2 linked regions of the Anolis sagrei genome follow. Each later gene encodes a partner of the first gene's protein in a complex. Links are inferred from orthologs where the notes say so. Each region holds a gene or a part of one and is shown in the gene's direction. Other genes may lie near its edges. The genes, in order: BCAS2 and CTNNBL1.

Region 1 (15,637 bases):
GGAGGGAAGTTTTGCCTTTTTCAGGATCCTTGCTGTTTCTGCTCGTACTTCTTCTGCTTCCTCCTCGGGGAGGCGATAAATTGCTGATTCAACATTGGCAATGATGTTTTCTAGATTTTCCCAGGCTCAGGCAGGCCTTCAAATGCTAATGAAGGTGATCAGCTAAACATTCACACCTAACTGCAGCAGGGAAGAGCTCCTTGCCCCACCCCAGCCATTCCACAGATATATAAACCCATTTTTCCTACTTCCAACAGACCTCACAACCTCTGAGGATGCTTGCCATAGATGCAGGCGAAACGTCAGGAGAAATGCCTCTAGAACATGGCTCTATAGCCCGAAAGAACTGGAAGCAGTTTACTGGTCTACAGCATGTCTATGTGGTTGATTGAGTTGTGTTCTTCAGTCTTAAGCAATCTCATAAAAGCTATAGAGGGCCTCAAGAAGGGACATGAATCATGTAATCTTCCAGATGTTGTGGACTGCAACTGCCAGCAGCCCTAGCCAACACCATCAGTGATGAGGAATTCTGAGAATTACAGTTTGGTAACATCTGCAAGGTCATAGGATTCCCACCTCTGCTCTAGTATCTTTGCTATCGTGCTATCATCTATCACAGGCATGGGCAAACTTCTGCCCTCCAGGTGTTTTGGACTTCAACTCCCACAATTCCTATCAACCTACTGCCTGTTAGGAATTGTGGAAGTTGAAGTCCAAAACACCTGTAGGGCAGAAGTTTGCCCATGCCTGATCTATCAGTACGATCAAGCAAAATATCCCCTCTTTCTTCTCATTGTTCTGACCTGCTGTGGAAAATTAGAATAATTGATCATAGGATATGGATCTTGGATCTTCACCATCTCTGAGATATTTTAAACTTGGTTTAGTTTTTGTATTTTCACAACTAGAAGTGAGTTTCTGTTGTAGTTCAGTCTACTTCTGCAATTTTTAAAAATTCTGATAATATCTTTATGGAGCAGTGTGTTGGTTTTAATTAATTTCATTATTTTTCATTTTATATAGTCACAAGGCATACACACTGACATTACATGTTGGAATAATTCTTCTGCATGGTAGCTGCTGAAATGAATCACTGTTCCCACTTTTAAACACAGCAGTGTAATCGTTATTGTTGACTTTTCTTCCTGCTTTTGTATTTTAAAGGTTTCAGATGAGGGTGAAATTCTACCTCACAAACTCCAAGCTGCACTCATACAAATTTTGGAAGAAAGGAATGATATCTTGTCTCAGGAGCGGACGTTTACACAAGGTGACTGCATTAGAGAATTATGCCTGTATAACTTAATTCTGACTTGAAAGTTCCTGTGTAAATTCAAGAATTCTTAAAATACATTTAAGACATTTTAGATGATTGATGTATTAGTACCTCCCACTGAGATTTAGATTGTCTATATAGAAATATATAAAATTTGTGTAATGCTTAAAAAGGAAAGAGAAGATAATAGTGAAATATAGTAAATGTTTTCCTATACAATACTGCCTTACTAACAGATCAAATTAAACTGTTAGATTTATTCAGTAATAACTAAAATTAAATAAAAGATTTAGTGGTGAAGAGCTGGGAGAGAAGACAAGAAGAACATAGGACAATACAAGAAGATAAAAAGACCGGGCTTAAAGTTAGAGGACAATATTTGTCCTCTGTTGTAGAGAATATATAGAATTTTTAATATTTTGAAGAATGTGTGAAATTGTAACTGATATGAAGAATTAGATGTATCAATTTTAACTTTGTACAGTATTCCCCCTCCTTCTGACCCCCTCCCTCTCTCTATGCCACACTAGATAGTTGTAAAGACTTAATTCACTAACAATAACCCCATTACCTCCACCTTCTTTATCCTTCTTTCTTCCTCTGACTTTCCCCATTTGGGGGGGGGGGGGGGGGGGCGCTTGGAAATGTTTATTTAAAACATTAAAAAAAATAATTCTTAAACTAAAGTACGCAAGCCTTCTTAATGGTCTGAAAACCGCTTTGAGTCCCCCTAGGGGTGAGAAAAGCAGTATATAAATACTGTAAATAAATAAATTAAAATTAAAATTGCTTGAAATGTTGCCATTCAAGAATATGGGATGTGATCATCTGCACTTTTGGTGTCTGGAATCAGACCCCCATAGGAATAATGAGGCCCACTGTGGTGTTGCTTTACAAAAGAGGAGTAGTTTCCTGTGCTTCTAGACATCCTTTCTCCTGCACAGCATGCAGTGTTTATGTTGGTTAAGTGTCTGTACTTTATTTGGTGTTTGGATGCAATTATTTTATCAACTATGACTGCTGATGTCATTATTTTGGTAGTCAGATATGCAGGCTGTGACCCAGAGATCAGGTTCTGTAGGTTTTGTAACTAATGGGGAAGGAGTAGAGGTTGTTGTCTTTCTAGAAGAGAGATGTGATTCTTTTCTGTTATTTTCTAATAGGTGATGTGACTCTGGACTCTCTTGTATCTGAGGCCTTTGTTCGCTTCTTCGTGGAGATTGTGGGGCACTACTCCTTGCACATGCATGTCACTGAGAAAGGGGAGCGGGTATTCCAGCGGGAACCCTTCCGGAAATCCCACACCTCTCGCAATGTGCGCCATTTCCTTGAAATTTTCATGGAAACACAAATGTTTGCTGGTTTCATACAGGACAGAGAGCTCCGGAAAAGTGCCGTTAAAGGTGAGATCTACCAAACTCAGCTTTACATTTCTCTCCGTGGGAAATTAAAAATCGTATAAAACCCAAATGCCTTTATGCTTATAGAACGTCCTCTGAAAGGTACTCCAGTACAATTTGTTGGGAACCTTTATACACTCGTGACAACATTGGTAGTTCATTGCCAGCACCACCAAAAACATTTTTAATGAACTTGTCTTGGGAAAAAGTTGAATTACTGAGTAGAATATTCACTTCTTTGAGGTGCCTCAGTTGCCTTATTAGGAGCCCCTAGTAGCACAATGGGTTAAACTCCTGTGCTGACAGGACTGCTGACCAAAAGGTCGGTGGTTCGAATCCGGGGAACAGGGTGAGCTTCCATCTGTCAGCTCCAACTTCTCATGTGGGGATAGGAGAGAAGCCTCCCACAGGATGGTAAAACATCCGGTCGACCCCTGGGCAACGTCCTTGCACACGGCCAATTCACTAACACCAGAAGCAACTTGCAGTTTCTCAAGTTGCTCCAGGCATGAGGAAAAAAGGTGCCTTATTTTCTTTTAACATGTCTTTAGCCGCACAGCAAATGTCTACAAATGTTGTTTCAGAGTTTCATTGTAGATAATCTGTGTAAAGTTTTACATATCTATGCACATTAACATAATTTATAGGTTTTTTTTTTTAATCTCAGCTAAGTAAATACATATCAGAATGATGGAAAGAAGTCCTTTCTTTTCCTTCTTGGTGTGGAAATAACAAACATATGTTACAATAAATTCAGGATTGCACAAACATATGTTACAAAATGTGCAGATATCTGTTATCAGATATATAGATATATATGCACAAGGATGGTATTTGCATCTTGAAGCCTGTGTATAATTGGCACACTTTATGCTGCATAATTCCATGATTCATGCTGTTGTTTTACAGAAGTCCTTTTTGTGTAGTGTATGTGTATGAACATAATTCAGACTAAAGAAATATAGTGTGTTTCTAAGTGATGCTTTTCTTTTTGCAGGGTTGTTTGAGGTCCGTGCTTTTGAATATTTGGAAACCATTCCAGAGTCTGAGCCAAGTGGGATGAATAAAATCCTTCGTAGTCTGGGTAAGTCAGGCTAAGATACATTATTATTGTAAAGATTCTATAAATACACGTATTAAAATGTATTTCTATAATGTGCAAGTGGCAACAAGGCAAAGATTAAACATGTAGTCAACCTTGTAAATCTATATTTTATATATTTTTAGGTAACAAAATGAAGTTTCTGCAAAAGAAGTAAGAAGTTCACTGCAGAATTTCTGCTAAGCATGGATTTCAGTTCCCAATCCGCAATGACAAGGGGTATCTCATTGCCTGTCATTGTGGTGTCAGATCGGATTTCTGGGAAGCAGCTCAAGATGAGCTTCAAGCGACTGGAAAAAAAAGTGCACCAGATCTGGGTGGAATTACTGATCTTTACTTTGCCTGGTCCTGCTGGAGTATTACTGGGAGAAACTGGGCTTCTAGTTGTAAAACTGGTCTGTAATGAGGAACTTGGTTAACTCTGTGAACGGTGTCTTTGTTTATGCTGCTTGGCCTAAAGACTTTCTCAGGTCACCCATTGTTTGAGTGATTTAAGGACTAAGTTGATACCAGTAAAAAAAGAAGAATGTGCCTAGAAATATGACATTTTCCCACAGCTGTCACATAGCCCTATGGATATTCTTTTCACAAGAAAATGTTCCCTTAAACTGGAAAGGCAAACCTGTTGAAGATGTTCTTCCGTCCTCATCTGCAAAAGTAGCCCTGTAAAGGTCACTCTGCCATTGGCCTAGTTTGTGCCATTATCTGTTTCATTACTTCTTCTAGTGATGTGTTGCAAAGCTGTATATTTTGTAGATAGAGAAAACAAAATAACAAAATTCTTTGTTTGTCCTCCTTTTTTATACTATAAAACTTAGTCTGTGTTATCTGTTTCGAATATACGTGTTCTCTGACTTTTTTACAAGATCATCTCTACTACGTTAAGGGACATACCCTCTGTCAGGAGAATGCAATTTGATCCCAACTGGGACCATCAATATGTTTTTTAAAAAATACAGAATGTAAATGAGCTCATTGTTTAATGCAGAAAGTTTGTAAAAAAATGAGTTTCTTATAGTTCCAGTTTGCTGTGAAACCTGAATGGGTTAGAAAAACTTCCTGGGTGCATTGTACCACTGATTTATCATAGCTGAACATCCACTACAATATGTTCTTCATCTAAACCTTTGCCTAATATTACAAGCTTTTGTCGCCACTATTATAGGAAGCAAACCAACACAGCCCCCTTCAGTTGTTCTTGTGATTTGCACACCATATAAAATAACTGTTTTAAAATGGCAAATAACCACTCCATGCATTTACTCAAATACAATGCATGGCATCATTATTCTTGTTGGACTTACTCCGGTTGCTTCTGTGGATTTGACCTTCAGTGGATCGTCATTGTATGTTTACATGTAACAAATGGACTCAGGTGTAACGCACAGTACTGTTGTTCAGCCTTGGAGTGAGTACAAAATTGTTCATAGAAGAGGAATTGTTTTGACGCTTTGATATGCTGATATATTGGATGCCAAAAAGTGCAGCCAAATTGGCCCTCTCAGTTTGGGTGATGAATTGATGTACAGAGAGATTGCCTAGATCTGAAAGGTGCTGCATAGAGATTAGGCATAATTCTTGCAGAACATAAGGAGAAAACATTTTTCACGATATGAAGACATGAGAGATAATTCACCATTATTGGAGTTAATGCATATAGTCTGAACTTCTACCTGTGTTTACAGTATTGCAGCCAGAATGAATTGCCAAAACCTTGGGGGCAGAAGGTGTTTCAGGAGATTTAGGAAATGTTTTCTTTCTTTGTATAGTTGTGCAAAACAAACCACTCACTCTTGTACAGATTTACTCAGCACTAAGGCTGTCTAAATCTAGTGGGATTTATACCCAAGCAAGTGCTTCTATGTAAGAGTTTAGCCTTAAGCTAAGAATAAATACCACAATCTCAATTATCTTCTGAGTAAATGTGCATAGCATCATGCTGTAGCATGTGAGACCTAAACAAAAAATGGAAATAATTTTATGTGTTTCAGAATCATGGACTGGCCTAGCTTGATACTGCAGTTTTGTTTCGAATGTGTTTTTCCGCTGCTCTTGCATAAACAGATTACTAAGAAAGCAAGACTTGGGTCAATGTTTTTAAAGTTTGTATTAGCACTTGAACACTTGCACTTGATCAGAAGAGCGGGAAGAAGCACCTTAGTGGTTCTGTTATTCAGGTCCTCCCTTGGGTCAGTTCAGCCCCTGAAATGTGTAACCTAATCTTTATAATTCCAGCCACGCTGTTCCTCGTGCCCTTATTTTCCCTTCACTTTTGATTTAAAACAAACAAACATGTTCCTTCTGGTCAGTGTTTTGTCTTTTTCCTCTGTATTTCCTTTGTCTTTTATACAGCCTGTTTTCTGCATTCTGGATAAAGCCATATTCTGTGGTGTACAGATGAAACCAAAACTTTAATGTACAGTAACAGAATTGTAATAAACCACGTTCCTTCTGAAACTGGTTCAAATAAAATGTACTGGATTTTTGTGTATGGCATTGTATCTTTTGGTCCTGAAAGCCAGTGCTCTTTACACCTTTGGTCTCCCAAAAAGGCCCATCAGAGCAGGAGTGGGGCCACTCTTCATTACTTCATTGGAAATATAACGTAAATGTTTAAAGGGGTGGTGATCGGTTAATATCTGGAAGCTGTAGTTTGTGCAGAATATTGTTGCCTGCCTCATGAATGATATTGGATGACAGAAGTGGATTGTTTGAAGTGGCTCTTTGTAACTTTATAGATGTGACTCAATGAATGGGCCAGAACAAGCTGCTGGAGGATTGTTTCTGTCCCTATGGGTACAGCTACACTGTAGAATTAATGCAGTTTGGCACTATTTTAACTGCCACAGCAGCTATGGAATTGTGGGAGCTGTAGTTTTACAAAGTCCTTAATCTTCTCTCCCAAGGTCTTTCTGTCAAAAATTGCAACTCTCATGATTCCATAACATTGCACTGTAGCTGTCTAAGTGGTGCGAAACTGAATTAATTCTACAGTGTGGATGCATTCTTAGTACATTGCTGTTCAGCAGCCACTATCTGTCAAACAGTTAATAACCATCATTCTCCAGTTGTCAAAAGTATTTCACAACATACTCCTTATTGCTCAATTATTTTAGAAAAGCACAACCTTTTAGAGATCATGATCTTTTAAAGAAGAGCCAAAAAACCTGTTTCAGTAGAATCTTCTCAAGTGGTATACAACCAAATGTAACTATGCAAGGCAATTGGCTTCAGTTGTTAGGAATATGTCAGTGCATAAGAACAGCAGTTCTTCAGATGAATTTTTCATATGCAAAAACATATCTACTCTCCCATAAAACAACATGTTTTATATTATGTACTCAAATGACAAAATAAGACTTTGGTAAAAATAAATAAATAACATATTTGTTTTACTCATAACCTTCATGTGTTCAGCATACACAGGTACACAATGTATCAGTCAGTTACAGATACGTTTGAGATAGTTTTTGTGTCATCCGGTCAGAACATCTCTCTCATAATAAACAGCAGGCAAGTGTTTGCAAGTCTGCCATCTGAGTAGTCCTAAAGTCTAAAGAAGTCTCAGAGCGGGTCACGTGATCTGCAACCCCTCCCACAACTTATCAGGAAAAACAGAGCAAGGAAAGAAAGCTACATATCAGAACATACATACAATAGATAAGCAACAGGATTATAAACAAATTACTAGAGGAGGCTTGAAGAAGGTTACATTTTCCAACACAATAACATTCCTGTCAGCTGATGGTGATAATTATATTTATTTATATTTCGCTTTCTTCTCTTAACAAGAGTCAAAAGTGGCTCACAACACTAAAAACAGTACAAGTGGCAATACAAAACCTTTAACACATTAACTTAATGATGGAATTAAAGACATTCTAGACCAGGAAAGAGCAAACTTTGGCCCTCCAGGTGTTTTGGACTTTGATTTCCACAATTTCTAACAGTCTCAGGCCCTTTCCCCTCGGGGGAAGAGGAAAGGGCCTGGGACTGTTAGGAATTGTGGGATTCAAAATCCATAACACCTGGAGGACCGAAGTTTTCCCATGCCTGGTCTAGACATTCTTTGACCATTTACAGCAGTGGTTCCCAACCTGTGGTCCATGGACCACCAGTGGTCCACAAGGACTAAAATATGATCCGCAGCTTCACTGTTACTACACTGTTGCAACAAGAATGACCCGGGGGCTCCATGATCATGCCTGTCGTAGAGAGCTGTTGTTTTGGACTTCAGCTCCCAGAATACCATATCAAGTCGCAAGGCAGCAGGGGCTTCTGGGAGTTGAAGTTCAAAACATCAGGAAGACTAAGAGTTTGGGAGGCACTGCTTTGGAGATGCCCAAGGATTCCCACTCCTATGCAAGGCTATGTGTCTCTTTAGAAATTGTGGAGGCATTGGTGTGATATATAGATACTTATTAATGATATCTATATAAATAAAAATGTAATGTTCGTTTGTGGGATTAACAGAACTCAAAAACCACAGGATGAATTGACACCAAATTTGGACACAAGACACCTAACAACCCAATGTATGTCCTTCACTCCAAAAAACTGAGTTTGTCATTTGGGAGTTGTAGTTGCTGGGATTTATAGTTCAGCTACAATCAAAGAGCATTTTGAACTCCACCAATGATGGAATTGAACCAATTTTGGCAGATAAGACTCCCATGACCAACAGAAAACACTAGAAGGGTTTGGTGGGCATTGACCTTAAGTTTGGGAACTGTAGTTCATTTACATCCAGAGAGTACTGTGGACTCAAACAATGATGTATCTGAACCAAACTTAGCACAGATATTCCATATGCCCAAATATTAACACAGATTGAGTTGGGGGGAAATCGACGTTCACATTTGGGAGTTGTAGTTACTGGGATTTATAGTTCATCAAAGAGAATGCTGAACCCCACCAACGACAGAACTGGGGCAACCTTCCCACACAGAACTCCCATACTTAAGTCCAATCAGTCCAAGTCCCTTCACCAGGACAAGAAAACATAATCAAAACCCTCCTGACAAAGAGCCATCCAGCCATAGATAGATAGATAGATAGATAGATAGATAGAAATATGATTCACACACAGAGATATAGTAGCATAGATTTGAAATGGACCCCTAAAGAAGGACAATGATATTGGAGGGGACGTAGTTTTAAAAAGACAATTTTCAGAGATCATCCCAATGCCCATATGTCATGATTTACTGCCATATTGGCCTATTTCTGCAGTAGGCCTATGTTCACAGAAAATGCTGATTGTTTGAGAAATCAGCGCTCCAAAGAAGAAGTTACTATTCAAGGATAACAGTATATCCGGACAAAACCAGCTAGCTAGTTAGAACCCCCAAGTTTCCCAGTCTCTCTGAAGCCATGTTTGCAATAGACTAACAGATAAGATACAGTCATGGTCAGAGAACAATGGACCATAGTTATGTTATAGTTGTGCCATTGTTAGGATCCCACGTGTGCTATAATGTCAACCAAAATCATAAACAAATGAACAACTGCATAACTAACTTAGACCAATGAAATGATTTGTCTTTGGGAACCAATGAAAATGTATATTCCATTTACTATAAATGCTCTGCAGCCCCATTGGGGGTTGCGACAAAACAGACAATCTCCATATCAACACTGACAAAAGATACAGCAAGAAATACTGTTTACCCACAAGCATAAAGAAATTACAAATATTAGAAACCAACACTTTCTAATTACTCTATTTCCCAGATCACAAGACTGGCCACAGCAACGTGTGGCAGGGGACGGCTAGTAAACCAATAAAAATCTTAACTCAGAAAAAAAAAAGAATGGGCTGTCGAGTTTTGCGCATGCGCCGGGTTGCTGCGTTTGCGCAGGCGCGGTGGAGAGCCCGGGCTACAGCGCAGGCGCGGTGAGAGTTGAGTCGCCGGCGTGAGGAGGAGACACAGCAGTATGTCGGGGCCGGGCCTGGTGGCGGGAGAGGTGGCCGTCGACGCGCTGCCCTACTTCGACCAAGGCTACGAGGCCACCGGCGTGCGGGAGGCGGTGAGTGGGGCGCCGGTGGGCGGGCGAGGGGTGAGGCGTAAGGGGCAAGGAGGTGACCCCCTCCTGTCTCTCTCTCTGTCTCTCTCTGCAGGCCGGGGCTCTGGTCGAGGAGGAGACGCGGCGGTACCGGCCCACCAAGAACTACCTCAGTTACCTGCCGGCGCCTGACTACGGCGCTTTTGAGGTGAGGAAGGCCTGACTAGGAGACCGGTTTGCAGCTTCCTCCCTCACGTCAAGGATCAGGAGAACCTCTTAATTGTTGTAGGGCAGGAATAGGCAAACTTGGGCCTTCCCTCCATATGTTTTGGACTTCAACTCCCATCGTTCCTAACAGCCTCAGGCCCCTTCCTTTCCCCCCTCAGCCGCTTAAGCGGCTGAGGGGAAAAAGGAAAGGGCCTGAGGCTGTTAGGAATGGTGGGAGTTGAAGTCCAAAACACCTGGAGGGAAGGCCCAAGTCTGCCCATGCCTGTTTTAGAGAGCTGTTGTTTTGGACTTCAGGTCCCAGAATACCTTATCAAGTCGCAAGGCAGCAGGGGCTTCTGAGAGTTGAAGTTCAAAACATCAAAAAGACTTAATAGTTTGGGAGGCACTGCTTTGGAGATGTCCAAAGATTCCCACTTCTATGCAAGGCTATGTGTCTCTTTAGAAATTGTGGAGGCATTGGTGTGATATTATTACTACGATGTTTATTTATACCCTGCTTTATCTCTTGACAAAGGATACACAAAACAACAAAATATTTATTTATTTACTTACTTACTGTATTTGTATACCGCCTTTCTCAGCCTATCAGCGACTCAAGGAGCTTTCCAACAAAACAGTATACACAGTATCATAGAACATTTTAAAACATTTCAATTACATAAACCACAACAACAATAAAAACAACATCATTAGCGTCTCCTTATTGTCAAGCATTGTCCAGTTCTATCGTCAATGGTCCATTCCTATATCATTTATCCATATCCGTTACTCTGTGTTTGAGAATGCTTGCTCAAGCATGTTTCGACTTGCTTCCGAAACGTGAGGAGGGAGGGAGCAGATCTAATCTCTCTAGGGAGGGCGTTCCATAGCGGGGGGGGGGGGGCTGAGAAGGCCCTGTCTCTCGTCCCCGCCAAACGTATCTGAGACGAAGGCGGGACCGAGAGCAGCGCCTCCCCAGACGATCTCAAGGTCCTTGATGGTTCATAAGGGGAGATACATTCGGACAGGTAAGTTGGCCCAGAACCATTTAGGGCTTTATAGGCCAAGACCAGCACTTTGAATTGAGCCCGGTAGCAAAAAAAGAAAGAAAGAAAGAAAAAAAACATCTCCCCAAAAGGTTCTTTAAGCACCTTGTTGTTGTTACATTTATTTTCACCCCGTTTGCATTTCCTAAACGAACACAATTTAGAAACAAGTGAATGTTTTTATGTTGAATGTTTTTATATTGTATAAATGCTATTTTAGATTGTAAGTCGCTCGGAGCACCTTGGTGGAGAGTGACTAATTAAGAAATAAGGTGAAGTGAAGTATTGTGGCATAAGCCTTTTAGGAACCATCTGCTGAGACAATGAAGGATTTTATTTGTGATGTAATATTTCCTTTCAATGAAATACTTAAATGTCTTATAATAATAAAGTAAGAAAATTCAGAGGTTTAAATGGGCACTTTTAGGGTAATAAACTGCATGACTTGACTAATATAAAAGCCACCAATGTCAAATGATGATAATAAATAATAATAAACTTTATTTATAACCTGCCACCATCTCCCTAAAGGGGGCTCAGGGCGGCTAACATGAGGCCAAGCCCAAAAATAATACAACCTAAATAGACACAAAACAACAGAGAAATACATTACAACAAAATATATAAAACAACAAATAAAATAAATAGTATAAAATAGCATAGTAAAATCAAATACAAAGGGCGGGCCAGATGTATGAGATAAAATGTTAAAAAATTAAAACCCTGGGTGAGATAGAAATAAAAAAGTGTATTTGTGAGAAAGGAGCCCAAGAAGGAGGAGCAGTGGAGTTTTGGCCTCTATAAAGGACAGGGGAAGGTGCTTTATCATGAGGACAACTGTAGGCGGAAACAAACAAATGGGTTGAATGGTCACTCTCTGAAGGCACATTGGAAGAGCCAAGTTTTTAGATGTTTCTTGAAGGCTGCTAGGGTAGGGGCTTGCCTGATCTCCCCAGGTAGCGAGTTCCAGAAGTGTGGGGCCACAGCGGAGAAGGCCCTCTCCCTTGTTCCCACAAGTCGAGCCTGCGATAAAGGAAGAGGCAAAAGAAGGGCCTCTCCAGAAGATCGAAGAGATCGTGCAGGTTTGTGGTAGGAGATGCAGTCACAAAGGTAGGTGGGTCCCAAACCGTCTTCTAATGGAAAGAGTATCCATAATGTATGTATGGAGATGCAAAAAAAAAAACCAAAAAAAACACCTCTTGAAAAACTTCTGGGTACTGTTCCATTATCTGGATAAAGGCCAAAAGCATTTCAGTCTTTGGATCATTTGAAACTATGTCAGGAATCTATAGGAAGGTACACCAAGGGTCTCTCCTACTTTAAGTAGTAGCTATGGTTGATAAAATAGTGTTTTGCCATTGTTCATGTCCATGTATGCATTTAAATTAGAATTGTCAAAAGTTTTTCACAAGCAGTCATAATTACAATCTCCATGCAATATCTTCCTGGTCTCAGCTATATCCTGTAAATTTGATTCATAGACTGAAATAATGCGGAATGAGTTTGAGCGTCTTGCAGCCCGGCAACCCATAGAACTGCTGAGTATGAAGAGGTAAGTGTTAAATTCTGAAGTAAAGTGCACCATCCATGCTAAGGCAACATGTTGGGTATAGAGCAGTGGTTCTCAACCTGGGGTCCCCAGAAATCGCAGCCAGTTTACCAGCTCTTAGGATTTCTGGGAGTTGAAGGCCAAAAACATCTGGGGACCCCAGGTTGAGAACCACTGGTATAGAGACTGAGGCTTGGGTATAGAGACTGAGACTTTGGGAAACAATATTTTAAAAGCGGCATTCCAGTTCTGGCCTCATGATGTCAGTCTACTCTACTGAAATAAGAGGATAGATCTAAAGTTTTGTGCCTTAAGGATTGTTATGTTGAAGACAGTCAGCTTTGAGTGATACTTGTGCAATTCGGAAAGCATATGTCTGTTACTGTAATCTCCAATTTTAAATAATATTTAGTTTGTAAAGCATTGTTCAAAACTGATAATGTGTAAAAAAAATTGTAATAAAAATGAGTCATGATCAGAATTAGTGTCGCAAATCTGTTAAAACAAATACTTGCATTTTTGTTTGAGGGCAGTAGTCTTTCTCTTGCTTTGGCTTCAGGTATGAACTGCCTGCACCCTCTTCTGGGCAGAAGAATGACATTACAGCATGGCAAGAATGTGTTAATAACTCAATGGCTCAGCTGGAACACCAGGCAGTTCGAATTGAGAATTTGGAGTTGATGTCTCAGTATGGCTGCAATGCCTGGAAAGTATATAATGAGTAAGTTTTTCATGGTCTCCAGGAGTTGCTTGAAAAGCTTTGGAAGGCAAATATACCACAGCTGCCTTTGATACATTTACCTTCCAAATTGATAGTCAAAAGGTGTGAAATCCTAAAGTTTTTGGAGAGTTACATGACTCCCATGCCAGATTTATAATTGTTTCCAGTTCTCTGTATTATCGTTGCTGCCTTTTCTACACCCCAATATGATTATGATGAGCTGCCAGTTTGGAAAATAATAAACCACAGTAGGGGGTCATTTTATATATAGTACTCTCATGGCTGTATAATGGAAGGTGTGACACATTTTAGTTATTGAGACTGGAACTTATTTGTTAGAAACTCATATTTCAAGTCAAGAATAAGTATCTTGTTGCTGATTTTTAAAATTAAATTCATTAAATTCACGTTTAAACTGGGAAGATTCAACAAACATTTGTGAGAACACAAATCCAGTTTTGGGGGGGGGGGGTTGAGAAGAAAGGAATTTAAAAAATGCTAGTTATTTTGCATTATAATAATGCTTTTGTGATTACTGTCTTTCACCTATATAAAATGGTTTGTTTATTTGACATTATGTTAAAGGAACACTATTATTACAAGTTAATGGAAAAACTAAATAAAACTTAAATATGACTGCTATGTGTCAAATGTACTACATTTATTTGATTTTTTTTTCATTCTATGTACAAAAAAGTACAATTCAGTTAAAGGTAAACAGGAAAATGAGTTCAAAATCTGATTTTGGTTGACTAGCATCAGTGGCCTACTTTACTTCTTTGTTATTAAATATTTATTTTATGTAATCTTTATTTTGCAGACATTTAGTTCATATGATTGAACAAGCACAGAAAGAGCTACAGAGTTTGAGGTAAGTTCAGCCTTTTCTGTCTGACTTGGAATAATTAGGATTTCAATGTATATCAGTTTTGCTAGATATATATAGAGAGGTGGGGGAAAGAACAGTCTATATATATCTTGAATTCTATATTTTTGTATTCACATTTTGCACCTTTCCAGAAGTTGCTGAATTACAGTTCTCCTATCTGGTTTATTGCGACATGTACTAAACCTGCTAGTAGGTGCAGGTCAGATTCTGGACTTCTACTGGCTAGAATCTCATTAACCCTAGCTTAGGTGTATTACCAAACTTAGACATTCATTTAGATCTAATTAAATCAAATTGTTCTAATTTGCTCATTAGTTTTCAAAATATACTGGTTTTCAGCATGGCTTTGGGTGTGGGGATTGGTCAAGGTGGCAAACTGGAAGGGTCCTGAATGTACACTTTCTAGCAGTGGTTTTCTTAATTGTATTTTTCTTCCAGAAAACACATTCAGGACCTTAACTGGCAGCGGAAGAACATGCAGCTCACAGCAGGTGCTAAACTTCGGGAGATGGAGTCAACGTAAGTAGATAGAACTTAACAGTGCAATTTTTTCTGTCTCTAGAAGCTCCTCAATAAACATATCTGTGTTACTCAGTTGAGAAGCAGCAAGACTAATTCCTTGACTTGTGTACTTTGTTTTGTGATTGAAGACAGTGCCATTGCAGAACTGATCCTTATGTGTGTTATCATAGAATATATCTATCTATCTATCTATAGATATGAGAGAGAGAGAGAGAGAGTTTAGAAAAGCAGTGCTGTTTCTACAGACTGCGAAAAGGAAGTTCAAGGAATATATATTTTTAAATCTATCATAGCTGAAAGTTTGTGAGTTCTTCAGAAAAGATTTCTTTAAAATACCTCATATCATTCTTCCTATAGTAACAAAGCAGAGTTACGTTAGCTTGAGCTAACACATAGAGTGTACCACATTGGAGTGTACCAAGAAGCACATCTTGTGCTCTTACCCCAAACAGTTGCAATTACAGGCATCATATGTGTGTTTAAATATGTCCATGTGGCCTAATGAGAAATACTGGATTATACACTGGTCTGCTGTGCCCTATATAATCTAGTGATAAACCTTTTTTCTGGTTTAAATCATGAGTAATCACGTTTACATTAAAAACAAATTTTGTGAGAAACAGAACGACATCTGCAACAAAGGTCAGGCAGATAAATGGGTCTTTAGCATGAGAATGAAAAACAGTGATAAGGTATCAGTTTTTGCATTCACCTGCTTTGCATGGCTTTCCACTTCTGCTCATTACTGATTTTATAATAATTTTGAAACCATCTCGTCCTGTCTTTTCTCATCTTCCTTTCTGTACATATATATTTATGTTAAACATCTGCCTTGGTTTTGTTCCCCTCTAGTTGTCGCCCTCTTTTCCATCCTATCCATTTCCCTCCCTATTAAGAATCTTTTTAGCATCCCATTTAC
Region 2 (15,222 bases), about 42 Mb from region 1:
GAACAAAACAAACAAACAGACAAAATACACAATTTGCGAGTTTGGAAGTTAATTAAATGTCCTTTGCCCAGTCTCTGACCACTTGGAGTGCCTCTGGTGTTACTATAAGAAGGTCCTCCATTGTGCATGTGGTAGGGTTCAGGGTGCATTGCAGCAGGTGGTCAGTGGTTTGCTCTTCTCCACACTCGCATGTCGTGGATTCCACTTTGTGGCCCCATTTCTTGAGGTTGGCTCTGCATCTCGTGGTGCCAGAGCGCAGTCTGTTCAGCGCCTTCCAAGTCGCCCCGGCTTCTGTGTGCCCAGGAGGGAGTCTCTCATTTGGTATCGGCCATTGGTTGAGGTTCTGGGTTTGAGCCTGCCACTTTTGGACTCTCGCTTGCTGGGGTGTTCCAGCGAGTGTCTGTGTAGATCTTAGAAAACTATTTCTAGATTTAAGTTGTTGACGTGCTGGCTGATACCCAAACAGGGGATGAGCTGGAGATGTCTCTGCCTGAAAATATACTTATGCTAATTTCATGATATTGCAAGTCAAAGAAGTGTTAGGTGGCTTCCGAGTCAGTGGGGTGATGAATCCACTCCTGACTTTAGTGGGATCTAAGGTGCATCTACATTGTCGAATTGATGCAGTTTGATCCCACTTTGGCTCAATGATAGGTAACCTGGGATTTGCAATTTGGTGAGGCACCAGCCTTCTTTGGCAGAGAAGGCTACAGATGTTGCAAAACTGTAACTGCAGCATTGAGTTGTGGCAGTTAACGTGGTGCTACACTGCATTAAATATTTAGTGTAGATCTGTGTTTCTCAACCTTCCCAATGCCGCGACCCGTTAATACAGTTCCTCATGTTGTGGTGACCCCCCAACCATAACATCATTTTCATTGTGACTCCATAACTGTAATTTTGCTACAGTTATGAATTGTAATATCTGAGATGAAGGATGTTGTTTCATTCACTGGACCAAATTTGGCACAAATGCCCGATACACCCAAATTTGAATACTGGTGGGTTTGGGTGGTTGGATGGGGAATTGATTCTGTCATTTGGGAGTTGTAGTTGCTGAGATTCATAGTTCACCTACAATCAAAGAGCATTTTGAACTCCACCAACGATGGAATTGAACCAACCTTGGCACACAGAACTCCCATGACCAACAGAAAATACTGGAAGGGTTTGGTGGGCATTGACCTTGAGTTTTGGAGTTGTAGTTCAACTACATCCAGCGAGCACTGTGGACTCAAACAATGATAGACCAAACTTGGCACAAATTCTCAATATGCCCAAATGAAAACACTGGTGGAGTTTGGGGGAAACAGACCTTGACATTTGGGAGTTGTAGTTGCTAGGATTTATCGTTCACCTACCATCAAAGAGCATTCTAAACCCTACCAGTGATTGAATTGGGCCAAACCTCCCACACAGAACCCCCATGACCAACAGAAAATACTGTTTTCTGATGGTCTTTGGGGACCCCTCTGACACCCCCTCGCGACCCCTCCAGGGGTCCTGACCCTCAAATTGAGAAACACTGGTGTAGATACACCCGACGGTCTCCCTTTCTCTTGTCTCGGATGTTCATTCTCTGCTTGCATTAAGCTAGGACAGCTGTCGCCGAGTCCATACGTCTTCTTTATTAACACTGGTTGCAAGCCTTCCAATTTCCTTGTAATGTTCCCAATAAACGCGGCGGTTTCCGCAGAGCAACTGTACGCCGGCGACTGTCGCAGCTGGTCCTTTATCTGTCGGCCCCATAAAAAGGATGCCAGGCGATGCCCGTCGCCCCATAACATCCGTCTCTCCTTTACAGCCGAGATTTGTTGCGCTAATTTCATCCCGGCTGCTTCGTCCCCGGATTCCCCGCAAGGACCAAGGTGCAAGCGGGGGCCGCCTGTCAACAAATTATATATGTTTTTAATTCTGGGCCCATCTTTCGAGCCAAACCCCTATGGAGACAATGCTGCAAACGAGGCTGCAAATGGCACCGGAGTCCTCCGTGTCTCTCTCTCTCTTGTATTAAAGCTGTTTTTCAGGGTTTGCAAGCAACTAGCTTTCCTTCTGTAGCTATTTGCGTTCGCATCCGAGTTATGTTTATCGCTACTTCATATATGGCTGAAAATGAAATGCATTTATTACGCACTCTAAACATAGCTGATGTGACTTTCCTCTGCTCTTGAACGCATCCGCCGAAAAGGGACACGGAGCCTCGGAGTCAGAATTTCAGTTTTCTCAAGAAAAAGTTTCACATTGTGCATTTACTCTGTAGAATGAAGAATTATAGAACTTTCATTGCTCAATGCTTTGCAATTATGAGAGCTGTGCTTTGGCAGAGAAGGCTTGTAAAACTATAACTTCCACCATTCCATAGCATTGAGCCAGGGCAGTTAAGGCTGTGCCAGACTGCATTCGCTCCTATACTCCTTGTTCCGGTACGGCTCTACCGGGAGATCCAACTTTATTTGCTTTGCATTAAATGTTTGTTTGCAGTCCTAGGTTTCAGGGACTCTGCAGATAGGTGGCTTCCTTCGGTTACAGTCATAGGGCAAGTCACCTGTCCATCATCGTTAAGTTTTGGTCCCACCCCTTGCTCAGGGCAATTGGGAAGGGAAAGGGGCCATTTTAGTTAGTCTCAGCAAGAAAAGCTAATGTACAGGACGTGTACAAGCTTCCCCTGTACAAAAGCTTCAACCCTTAAGAGCTTCCCGGGGAGAGCAGTCTTAAGAGTCTCCAAAGATTTCCAGGGAAACAGCCCTAAAGACCAAAGAACTCCAGCTGGAGAACATCTAAGCCTTTACTGGTAGGTCCACTCAGCGTTCGAGAAGCAGTTCGACCTGGTAGCAGAGCCCACATCAGTAAGGGTTAGATTACAGTCAGCCTGGGAGAAGTTAAAAAGGGGATTTTCCATTTAAAGTAAAGAAGAAGTTATTGAAGACAGTTGCCTTTCCTTTGTGGGCAAGTTTAGGAAGTCACCAGTTGCATAAAAGCCTGGAATCATTTGTTTATCTTTCTGAAGACAAGAGAACTTTCTGTTTGATTGTTCATTAATAAAAGACTTTGTTATACTTCACAAGCCATCTAAAGATCACTGGTGTTGGAAAACCTCTGAGAACTTCTCTTTGGGGCCCCCTGGCTTCCTGCTGGGCAAAGGTTGCACGTCCTGTTCTAAAGGAAATTCTTTACAGGCCTAGCGTGCAACAGAACACTCCTCATGATTACAGCTCATGGGAGTTGTAATGCAGGAACATCTGGAAGGCTGTGGTTTGCTCTGTTTAGTCAAGAGAGTGGGGTTTGGATTGAGATACAAGGCTAGCGGATAGGATGCCCAACTTTAAAACGATGAGACAAATGCAAGATACTCCACTTAGGCAGAAAAAACGAAATGCAAAGATACAGAATGGGGGACGCAAGGCTCGAGAGCAGTACGTGTGGAAAAGATATTGGCGCCCTCGTGGACAGGAAGTTAAACATGAGCCAGGAATGTGATGCGGTGGGAAAAAAGCCAGTGGGATTTTGGCCTGCATTAATAGGAGCATAGTGTCTAGATCTAGGGAAGTCATGCTCCCCATGCTCTATTCTGCCTTGGTTAGACCACTTTACCTGGAATATTGTGTCCAATTCTGGGCACCACACATTAGAAAACGTGGACCATTTCCGCTACCTTGGCAGCCATCTCTCCACCAAAGTCAACATCGACGCCGAAATACAACACCGCCTGAGCTCTGCAAGTGCAGCATTTTCCAGAATGAAGCAGAGAGTGTTTGAGGACCGGGACATCCGTAGGGAGACCAAGGTGCTTGTTTATAAAGCTATTGTCCTCCCAACCCTGCTATATGCCTGTGAGACGTGGACTGTCTACAGACGTCACATGCAGAACGTTTCCATCAGCGCTGCCTCCGGAAAATCCTGCAAATCTCCTGGGAAGACAAGCGGACAAACGTCAGTGTGCTGGAAGAAGCAAAGACCACCAGCATTGAAGCGATAGTCCTCCAACATAAACTCCGCTGGGCTGGCCACATTGTCCGGATGCCTGACCACCGTCTCCCAAAGCAGTTGCTCTACTCCGAACTTAAGAACGGAAAACGGAATATTGGTGGACAGGAAAAGAGATTTAAAGATGGGCTCAAAGCCAACCTTAAAAACTCTGGCATAGACACTGAGAACTGGGAAGCCCTGGCCCTTGAGCGCTCCAGCTGGAGGACAGCTGTGACCAGCAGTGCTGCAGAATTTGAGGAGGCACGAGTGGAGGGTGAAAGAGAGAAACGTGCCAGGAGGAAGGCACGTCAAGCCAACCCCGACCGAGACCGCCTTCCACCTGGAAACCAATGCCCTCACTGCGGAAGAAGATGCAGAGCAAGAATAGGGCTCCACAGCCACATACGGACCCACAAGGAAATCCATAATGGAAGACCATCTTACTTGTCCAACGAGGGATCGCCTAAGTAAGTAAGTAAGTACCACAATTCAAGAGAGATATTGACAAGCTGGAATGTGTCCAGAGGAGGGCGACTCAAATGATCAAGGGTCTGGAGAACAAGCCCTATGAGGAGCGGCTTAAGGAGCTGGGCATGTTTAGACTGAAGAAGAGAAGACTGAGAGGAGACATGATAGTCATGTATAAATATGTGAGAGGAAGCCACAGGGAGGAAGGAGCAAGCTTGTTTTCTGCTTCCTTGGAGACTAGGACACAATGGAACAATGGTTTCCCACTACAAGAGAGGAGATTCCATTTGAACATGAGGAAGAACTTCCTGACTGTGAGAGCCGTTCAGCAGTGGAACTCTCTGCCCCGGAGTGTGGTGAAGGCTCCTTCTTTGGAAGCTTTTAAACAGAGGCTGGATGACCATCTGTCAGGGGTGCTTTGAATGCAATATTCCTGCTTCTTGGCAGAATGGGGTTGGACTGGATGGCCCAGGAGGTCTCTTCCAACTCTTTGATTCTATGATTCTATGGAGGAGCCACAGGATGTTTAGAAGTTTGTTAGGGCACCTGATTTCTTGGACCATGGTCCAGAGAGTGCTGCGGTTCACTGTTTCGAATGCCTTTGCAAGGCCAATGAATGCCATGTACAGATTGTATTTCCTTTACAATTAATGTGTTACACTGTATTTGAAAGGTTATTGTCCTTAACAGGCAAGATCTCTATGCCAAGAATGGTTTGTAGGGCTTTCAAATGGGGGGGGGGGGGTGGAGATCTAGAAAACGGTCCTTTTCCCGACCCTGACCCTCTCCCTGCCTTATCCACGCATTGCACTTCGCCTATGGATCTAACTCATGCCAATTAGCAAAGCCACGTGCAGCCATTATTTAAGGGGGAAGGATTTCATGGCCGGAATCGAAGGATTTCATGGATGGAATCACTAGGTTCTTATGGGTCTTTTCGGGCTATAGGGCCATGGTCTAGAGGCATTCTCTCCTGACGTTTCGCCTGCATCTATGGCAAGCATCCTCAGAGGGAGTGAGGTCTGTGGGAACTAGGAAAAAGGGTTTATATATCTGTGGAATGACCAGGGTGGGACAAAGGACTCTTCTCTGCTGGAGCTAGGTGTGAATGTTGCAAGTCTGACTTGGCCACGGTAGTCCACGCTCTGGTTACATCCCGTTTAGACTACTGCAATGCTCTCTACGTGGGGTTGCCTTTGAAGATGGCCCGGAAGCTCCAACTGGTCCAATGTGTGGCAGCCATGATTCTAACAGGAGCGGGGTGCAGGGAGCATACAACCCCCCTGCTGTACTAGTTCCACTGGCTGCCGATCTGCTACCGGGCTCAATTCAAGGTGCTGGCTTTGGCCTATAAAGCCCTAAACGGTTCCGGCCCAAGATACCTATCCGACCGCCTCTCGGCGTATGAGCCCACGAGGATTTTGAGATCGTCCGGGGAGGCCCTGCTCTCGATCCCGCCTGCGTCACAGGCACGGCTGGCGGGGACAAGAGATAGGGCCTTCTCGGTGGTGGCTCCTCGGCTGTGGAACACCCTTCCCGTGGACATCAGGCTAGCTCCCTCCCTGATGATATTCCACAGGAAGCTAAAGACCTGGCTGTTTAAGAAGGCATTTGAATGAAGTGCAATGACTGGTAATTTGACCATAGGAATGGAACAACGGAAACGATATCGGATTGTGGGATTGACGATGAGACGACTCGGAATGGCTTTGTAGTAATGTTGATATTTTGATGAGATGTTTTCTGATAATGTGGAATTGTGGGTTATTTTACACTATGTTTTGTATTTTGCACCTGTTTTTCTATGTTGTACACCGCAATGAGTCGCCCTTGGGCTGAGAATTGCGGTATATAAGCGCAGTAAATAGATAAATAAGTAAATAACTGACCACCTTCATTAGCCTTTGAAGGCCTGGCTGAGCCTGGGGGAATCTTTTGTTGAGAGGTGTTAAGATGTGCCTGGTTGTTTCCTCTCTGCTGTTTTGCTGTTGTAATTTTAGATACACAAACTTAAATACAGGGTTAGTCAAAATGAATAGGCCAATAAGAATATTAATTGTACCCGAATTGGCCTATTCATTTTGACTAACCCTGTACACAAATTCCCGTATTTGCTTTTCCTGCGCGCGCTGCTCCTAGGCGAATTACGGCCCCCTGCTGGAATCTGGTCGAACCTTCACCCCGCGCGCGCCCTTCGCTTGACGGCAGCGCGGGCCAATCAAGGCCTTCCCTTCGCTTTACGGCGCCGCTTTGCGACGTTTCGCGACACCCGGAAGCACAAGGAGTCTCTCAGCTTACACCACCGGGCTTGTTTCTTTCTCTCTCTCCTTCTCTCTCTGTTTCGGTGTCTTTTCTCTTCAGGGAAGGAAAAGAAAGGAAAGAGGGAAGGCATGGACGTCGGGGAGCTGCTCAGCTACCAGGTGGGACCCCCATATTGGTATCGTAGGGTGGGATTATGTGGGGTTTCAGCATGAATGAGCTCTCTCTGTGTCTACAGCCAGGGCTTTGAGTGCGATTGTCCTCCTTCTTGGCAGAATGAGGATGGACTGGATGGCCCATGAGGTCTCTGCCAACTCTTGGGTTCTGTGATTCTATGAAAGAAAGGAGATTTCATCTGAACATTATTTATTTATTTATTCGCTGCATAAATAAATAAATAATGTTTATTTATGCACCCAAATACCTGGGAGTCACTTTGGACCGTGCTCTTACCTACAAGAAGCACTGCCTGAACATCAAGCAAAAAGTGGGTGCTAGAAACAATATCATACGAAAGCTGACTGGCACAACCTGGGGATCACAACCAGACACAGTGAAGACATCTGCCCTTGCGCTGTGCTACTCTGCTGCTGAGTATGCATGCCCAGTGTGGAACACATCTCACCACACTAAAACAGTGGACGTGGCTCTTAATGAGACATGCCGCGTTATCACGGGGTGTCTGCGCCCTACACCACTGGAGAAATTACACTGCTTAGCCGGTATTACACCACCTGACATCTGCCGGGAAGTAGCAGCCAATAGTGAAAGGACCAAGGCAGAGACATCTCCAGCTCATCCCCTGTTTGGGTATCAGCCAGCACGCCAACGACTTAGATCTAGACATAGTTTTCTAAGATCTACAGAGACACTCGCTGGAACACCCCAGCAAGCGAGAGTCCAAAAATGGCAGGCTCAAACCCAGCACCTCAACCAATGGCTGATACCAAATGAGAGACTCCCTCCTGGGCACACAGAAGACTGGGCGACTTGGAAGGCATTGAACAGACTGCGCTCTGGCACCACGAGATGCAGAGCCAACCTTCAGAAATGGGGCTACAAAGTAGAATCCTCGACATGCGAGTGTGGAGAAGAACAAACCACTGACCACCTGCTGCAATGCAACCTGAGCCCTGCCACATGCACAATGGAGGACCTTCTTGCAGCAACACCGGAAGCACTCCAAGTGGCCAGATACTGGTCAAAGGACATTTAACCAGCTACCAAACTCACAAGTTGTGTATTTTTCTGTTTGTTTGCTTTGTTCTGTTAGACTGGTTGTTCTGACACGACAAATAAAATTTGCTGCATTTGTTAACCGCCGTTCTCAGCCCTAGGGCGACTCACGGCGGTGTACAACATATAAAAGACAATTTACAATAAAGCAATAACGAAAAATCAACATATCACTAATACACAATAATATAATTACACTAAAATAATCCGCTCCGTCTCATCATAGAATCATAACCAATCTCGTAATCCATATTCCGTTCCAGTTGTCATTACCAATTAATGTAGCACTCAGTTAAATGCCTTCTCAAATAGCCATGTCTTCAGGCTCTTACGGAAAGACATAAGGGAGGGCGCCTGTCTGATGTCAACAGGGAGGGTGTTCCACAGCCGGGGGGCCACCACCGAGAAGGCCCTCTCTCTCGTCCCCGCCAAACGTGCCTGTGAAGCAGGCGGGATCGAGAGAAGGGCCTCCCCAGACGATCTCAAGGCCCTCGTGGGCTCATAGGCCGAGATGCGGTCCGAAAGGTATTTTGGGCCAGAACCGTTTAGGGCTTTGTAGGATAACACCAGCACCTTAAATTGGGCCCGGTAGCAGATCGGCAGCCAGTGGAGCTGGAACAACAAGGGCGTAGTATGCTCCCTGCGTCCCGCTCCTGTTAGTAACATGGCTGCCGCGTGCTGGACTAGCTGAAGCTTCCGGGCCTTCTTCAAGGGCAGCCCCACGTAGAGAGCGTTGCAGTAGTCAAGGTGGGATGTGACCAGAGCGTGTACCACCGTGGCCAAGTCAGACTTCCCGAGGTATGGGCGCAGCTGGCGCACATGAGGAAGAACTGACTGTGAGAGCCGTTCAGCAGTGGAACTCTCTGCCCCGGAGTGTGGTGGAGGCTCCTCCTTTGGAAGCTTTGAAACAGAGGCTTGTCTTGCGTTAGCATGAGTAGCATGCAGATTGACTCTAGCCCAGTTAACTGTGTGTGTGATGAAATTACTCATAAAAGAAAAACACACGAGACTTCGGCTTAAAGTAGAAAAGAAAATATTGTAGTATTGGCAGCATACAAAAACAAAGTAGCAGGATTCCTGTTTCCACAAAAGTAACATGAAACAATATCTTCTGAGAGATATCACTACTCAGCTGGGATAAGCAGGAATCCTTGTCCTCTTCTCATGGCTGTGTCTTCGCAGGACATCTGCAGCATAGTCCCCGGCTTACACAAAGCAGAACGGCACAGAGGCATAGATGCACAATAGCATAAAGGCACAATGGCAAAGAACTAAACACACAGTAGCTATCTTTATACACATGAAAATAACACTCTCAATTAACTCTTCAATCAACTGAAACAGCTGTAGCACAAACAGCCTTGAACCTTAAAACAACTTAAAGTTATAGCACAAACAACATTGATCCTTACAACAACTTAGATAAAGTACGTTGCAATCTCTTAGTAGCAACAAGGCTGGGTGGCCATCTGTCAGGGGGGATTTGAATGCAATATCCCTGCTTCTTGGCAGAATGGGGTTGGACTGGAGGGCCCATGAGGTCTAGGATTCTATGATCTGTTGTTGTTGTTCATTATTTTTAAAATTTTAACTACTACATTTGGCCCAGCCATTGGTTTTTAAATGTTATTGTGTTATTGTCGATGTTTACTGCCTATTTTTTTTGTTTATGAGCTTTATTTTATTGTTTTGTATTACTGCTGTTGTTGTTTTTTGGTGATGTATTGTGAGCTCAGCCTCATGTAAGCCGCACAGAGTCCCTTGGGGAGTTGTTGTTGTTGTTCATTCGTTCAGTCGTCTCCGACTCTTCGTGACCTCATGAACCAGCCCACACCAGAGCTCCTTGCCGTCTGTCACCACCCCCAGCTCCTTCAGGGTCAGTCCAGTGACTTCAAGGATGCCATCCATCCACCTTGCCCTTGGTCGGCCCCTCTTCCTTTTGCCTTCCACTTTCCCCAGCATCATTGTCTTCTCTAGGCTTTGCTGTCTCCTCATGATGTGGCCAAAGGACTTCCACTTTGTCTCTACTCTCCTTCCCTCCAGTGAGCAGTCGGGCTTTATCTATCTATCTATCTATCTATCTATCTATCTATCTATCTATCTATCTATATATATATAACTAAATGGACCAGTACAACCCTTGGGGAGACTTATTATTTATTTCGTGTACTTCTACCCCGCCCTTCTCAACCCCCGAGGGGGGACTCAGAGCGGCTTACAAAAAGGCACAATTCGATTCCTACACAATAATACAAATAAACGTGTAAAACAGCAATTAAAACAATTAAGACAGTTAAAACAATCAATATATATCACAGTCAATAAACCAATCCCAAGCTCAGCGTTCGCCAACTCAGAGTCCATATTTCGTTCTACATTATCTATTCCTATCAGTCGTCGTAGTCCTTTATTCATCTGCCAGATTGTCCAAACGCATGGTCCCAAATCCATGTTTTTAATTTCCTTCTAAAGGAAAGGAGGGATGTCGCTGATCTAATTTCCCCAGGGAGATGGTAGCGGGGTACAAATAAAGGTCTTTTAAAAATTATTATTATTCATTCAGTTGTTTCCAACTCTTCGTGACCTCATGGACCAGCCAAGGCCAGAGCTCCCTGTCAGCCATCACCACCCCCAGCTCCTTCAATGCCAAGCCAGTCCCTTCAAGGATGCCATCCACCCACCTTGCCCTTGGCCAGCCCCTTTTCCTTTTCCTTTCCATTCTTCTCAGCATCATTGTCTTCTCTAAGCTTTCCTTTCTTCTCATGATGTGGCCAAAGTACTTCCATCTTTGCCTCTACTAATCTTCCCTCCAATGAGCATAGAATCATAGAATAATAGAGTTGGAAAAGACCTCATGGGCCACCCAGTCCAAACCCATTCTGCCAAGAAGCAGGAAAATTGCATTCAAAGCACCCCTGACAGATGGCCATCAAGCTTCTGCTTAAAAGCTTCCAAAGAAGGAGCCTCCACCACACTCCGGGGCAGATGGTTCCACTGCTGAATGGCTCTCATAGTCAGGAAGTTCTTCCTCATGTTCAGATGGAATCTCTTTTCTTGTAGTTTGAAGCCATTGTTCCATTGCGTCCTAGTCTCCAGGGAAGCAGAAAGGAAGCTTGCTCCTCCTCCCTGTGGCTTCCTCTCACATATTTATACATGGCTCTCATCATGTCTCCTCTCAGCCTTCTCTTCTTCAGGCTAAACATGCCAAGGATGATGGTCCTCCAAGTGTAGTATTCTGGCGGTGGGTCCGTAGGTGACTGTGGAGCCAGATTCTTGATCTGCACCTTCTCCCACTGTCCATGTCTCACAGGCGTATAGCAGGATTAGGAGGACAATAGTGTTATAGACAAGCACCTTGGTATCCCTACGGATGTCCCGGTCCTCAAACACTCTCTGCTTCATTCGGGAAAATGCTGCACTCGCAGAGCTCTGGCGGGGTTGCATTTCAGTGTCAATGTTGAATTTGGTGGAGAGGTGGCTGCCAAGGTAGCGGAAATGGTCAACATTTTCTAATGTGACACCATTAAGCTGTTTTTCTGGCATTGGAGAGGGATTGGCCGGTGACTGCTGGAAGAGCACTTTGGTTTTCTTGATGTTAAATGACAGGCCGAGCTTCTCGTATGCTTCCGCAAAGGTGTTTAGAGTGGCTTGTAGATCTTCTTCTGAATGCGCACAGACAACATTGTCATCAGCATACTGGAGTTCTATAACAGATGTTGTTGTAACCTTGGTTTGGCTTTCAGCCTGCTGAGGTTAAACAGCTTGCCATCTGTCCGATAGATGATTTCCACTCCGCTGGGAAGCTTCCCATCAACAAGGTGCAATATCATAACAATGAAAATGGAAAATAAAGTTGGGGCAATAACACATCCCTGTTTGACATCTGATTCCACCTTAAATGGGTCACTTTGGGAGCCATTGCTGTTCAAGGCTGTTGTCATCATGGAGGAGCCAGAGGCTGTTCAGAAATTTGAATTGAATTGGAATTGCAGAAAAAGATATTAGGAAAACATTCCTGACAGGTAGAGTGGCAGTGGATTAGGTTGCTGCTCTGGAGTCCAGTGGAGTCTCTTTCTCTCTCTGTATGTGTGTTAAGCATCTGCTGTAAGTGTTCTAGTTGTATTTGCCTGTATGGTAGAATGGGTTTGGACTGGGTGGCCTTTGGGGTTTCTTCTAACTCTAAGGTCCTGTAATGATGATGGTGTCTATTCAAATCTCCAATGTCAGGAGTAGCAAAATATGTAGGTTAGGTTTTGCACCTTTTGCTCACTTGTACTCCAGTGAAATGTGATTGGTAGGCTGGGAAATGAGTGGTTTAGTGCACTACTTCTTAAACTGTAGGTCCCAACCCCAAATAGGGTCTTCTTAGCTCAGTGCTGGGGATACAAAAAATTGGTAACAGTAAAAGGCTCCTGAGCACCATCCATTTGCAGAAATCTGTTAGCAATAACCTGCAGTGATTACAGCGGACTATGCAGAAATCACTTCATCTGTACTCCACAAACTGGGAAATCAGCCTATTTAGTAGCCTTTGCAAATGTTGATTTATTACACTACTAGCTGTACCCATCACGCGTTGCTGTGACTAACCTTCCCTCCCTTTTTCTGGATCCATCGCAGTCTCTTTTCAAGCCTGGTCACGGTACCGAGAAGGCTTTGGTCGCCTTAGTGGATGACCTCAGCAGAGAACTTGACAGTGAGAGTGTGTCCTTGTTGGTTCTCCTGGACATCTTAGCGGCTTTTGATACCATCAATCATGGTATCCTTCTGGGGTGGCTCTCCGAAATGGGTCTTGGAGGTACTGCATTGCAGTGGCTCCATTCCTTTCTGGAGGGCCATACCCAGTTGGTGAAACTGGGGGATACCTGCTTGGACCCCTGGCCTTTGACCTTTGGAGTCTCGCAAGGTTTTATTCTTTCCCCTATGCTTTTCAATATCTACATGAAACCACTGGGTGAGGTCAACCGGAATTTTGGAGTTTGTTGCCATCTTTACGCAGATGACACACAACTCTATTACTCCTTTCCACCAAAATCCAAGGAAGCCCCTCAGGTCCTGGACCTCTGCCTGGCTGCTGTGATGGGCTGGATGAGGGCTAACAAGCTGAAATTGAATCCTGACAAGACAGAGGTCCTCCAGGTCAGTCGCTTGGCCGAACGGGGTATAGGGTGGCAACCTGTGTTTGACAGGATTACACTCCCCCTTAAGACATAGGTCTGCAGTTTGGGGGTCCTCTTGGACTCAGTGCTGATGCTCAGGTGTTGGCGGTGGCTGGGAGGGCCTTGGCACAGTTAAGGCTTGTGCGTCAGCTGCGACCGTACCTCGAGAAGTCTGAATTGACCATGGTGGTCCATGCCTTAGTTACCTCAAGATTGTACTACTGTAATGCACTCTACGTAGGGCTGCCCTTGAAGACGGTTCGGAAACTACAACTGGTGCAAAGGTCGGCAGCCAGATTGTTAACTGGACCAAGTTACAAGGAGCGGTCAACCCTCCTGTTTAAACAGCTCCACTGGCTACTGATAAGTTTCCAGTCCCAATTCAAGGTGTAGGTTATTACCTATAAAGCTCTAAACGGTTCAGGACCTGCCTATCTGCGCGACCGCCTCCTCCCCTATGAGCCCATGCAAACCTTAAGATCTTCTGGGGATGCTCTTCTCTCACTCCCGCCCTCGTCTCAAGCGCGGCTGGTGGGGACGAGAGAAAGGGCCTTTTTCGGTGGTGGCCCCTCATATCTGGAACTCCCTCCCCAGGGAGATTAGACTGGCACCCTCCCTAGCCACATTCCACAAGGAATTAAAGATGTGGATGTTTCATCATGCTTTCAGCTGACAACTCTTAGGACATACGACTTGTATCGTGACCTGAATCATGATTCAACCTGAATTCTATATTACATTACTATTCAGATTTTTAAGTTAACCTGAATTGACTCTGATCCTGTTGAATTGCTCTGTTTTCATGCTATTTCCTATGCTATTTTTATGTTTCCATCCACCCTATTTCCATCAACCAATTATCTTTTGATCAGCTCGTATATTGGCCTTCTCCCCCCTTTCAAAATTAGTCTCTTATTGCTTGATGCTTGTCTATTATTGTTATGCTGTTTTATGCTTTTTAAATTGTAATTTGTTATTGCTCTGCTTTTAATTGAATGTTGCCTGCAATCCAGGAATAGGAAATTGGAAATATGCAGGGATTAGGATGCTCTCAAAGAAATCCAAGGAGAAGAAAGCTTGCAGCTTGGAAGCAGTGCATTTGGATCATCCTCCTCTCCTAAAAGGCCTGGTCTAGGGGATGCTGGGAGCTGTAGTCCAAAAGAGAGTGTGGATATGCTATTGTGTGTTTTGTTTGCTAGGGAGAGTCGTTTTTGCGCATGCGCTGTATCATCTTTTTGCTTTTTTGGCTTTTTAAGTCTCTTCTGCTGTGTTTTTTAGTGTTTTTATGAGTGATGGTCACTTGTTGGCCTGATAGGTGTATTGTGTCCAAATTTCATATCAATTAATCCAGTGGTTTTTGAGTTATGTTAATCCCACAAACGAACATTACATTTTTATTTATATAGATATTAGCTGTCCCCTGTCACGCGTTGCTGTGGCCCAGTCTGTGTAAATGTGTTTTGAGTGTGTATATATTTGTGTGTATGTGTATATATGTGTGTTTGCGTATATATGTGTGGTTTTAAGCATGCATTGTAATGTTTTTTTTTTGCTTTTTCAGTCTCTTTTGCTGTGTTTTTAGTGTTTTATGAGTGATGGTCACTTGTTGGCCTGAGAGATGTATTGTGTCCAAATTTTGTGTCAATTCATCCAGTGGTTTTTGAGTTATGTTAATCCCACAAACAAACATTACATTTTTATTTATATAGACTAGCCGTCCCCTGCCACGTGTTGCTGTGGCCCAGTCTGGTGATCTGGAAAATAAAGTAATTAGAAAGTGTTGGTTTTTAATATATGTAATTTCTTTATTGTTGTGGGTAAACAGTATTTCTTGCTGTTTCTTTGTCAGTGTTGATGTGGGGGTTGTCTGATTTCCCACTCTGGAACATGCAACATATAATTGTCCTTCTTTAGGGGTCCCTTTAAATCTATGATACTATGTATGGGAATCATGTTGTTGTTGTTCATTCGTTCAGTCGTCTCCGACTCTTTGTGACCTCATGGACCAGCCCACGCCAGAGCTCCCTGTCGGCTGTCACCACCCCCAGCTCCTTCAAGGTCAGTCCAGTCACTTCAAGGATGCCATCCATCCATCTTGCCCTTGGTTGGCCCCTCTTCCTTTTGCCTTCCACTT

What was found.
Region 2: BCAS2 (region 1) and CTNNBL1 share a complex: the UniProt entries of both Homo sapiens proteins name them as parts of the PRP19-CDC5L splicing complex. The link is inferred for Anolis sagrei from reciprocal best matches to the Homo sapiens genes BCAS2 and CTNNBL1.

Annotation. Positions count from the first base shown.
Region 1 is NC_090024.1:203,189,653-203,205,289, reverse strand, and holds the start of BCAS2 (pre-mRNA-splicing factor SPF27), read left to right. Parts: upstream 1-9,664; 5' UTR 9,665-9,715; coding exon 9,716-9,808; intron 9,809-9,899; coding exon 9,900-9,992; intron 9,993-12,518; coding exon 12,519-12,589; intron 12,590-13,145; coding exon 13,146-13,307; intron 13,308-14,127; coding exon 14,128-14,178; intron 14,179-14,634; coding exon 14,635-14,715; intron 14,716-15,637. Other genes in the region: DENND2C (DENN domain-containing protein 2C), read left to right, coding at 1,165-1,270, 2,440-2,679, 3,674-3,760, 3,904-3,935. UniProt on the Homo sapiens protein: Required for pre-mRNA splicing as component of the activated spliceosome. Component of the PRP19-CDC5L complex that forms an integral part of the spliceosome and is required for activating pre-mRNA splicing.
Region 2 is NC_090024.1:245,565,472-245,580,693, reverse strand, and holds the start of CTNNBL1 (beta-catenin-like protein 1), read left to right. Parts: upstream 1-6,687; 5' UTR 6,688-6,824; coding exon 6,825-6,854; intron 6,855-15,222. UniProt on the Homo sapiens protein: Component of the PRP19-CDC5L complex that forms an integral part of the spliceosome and is required for activating pre-mRNA splicing.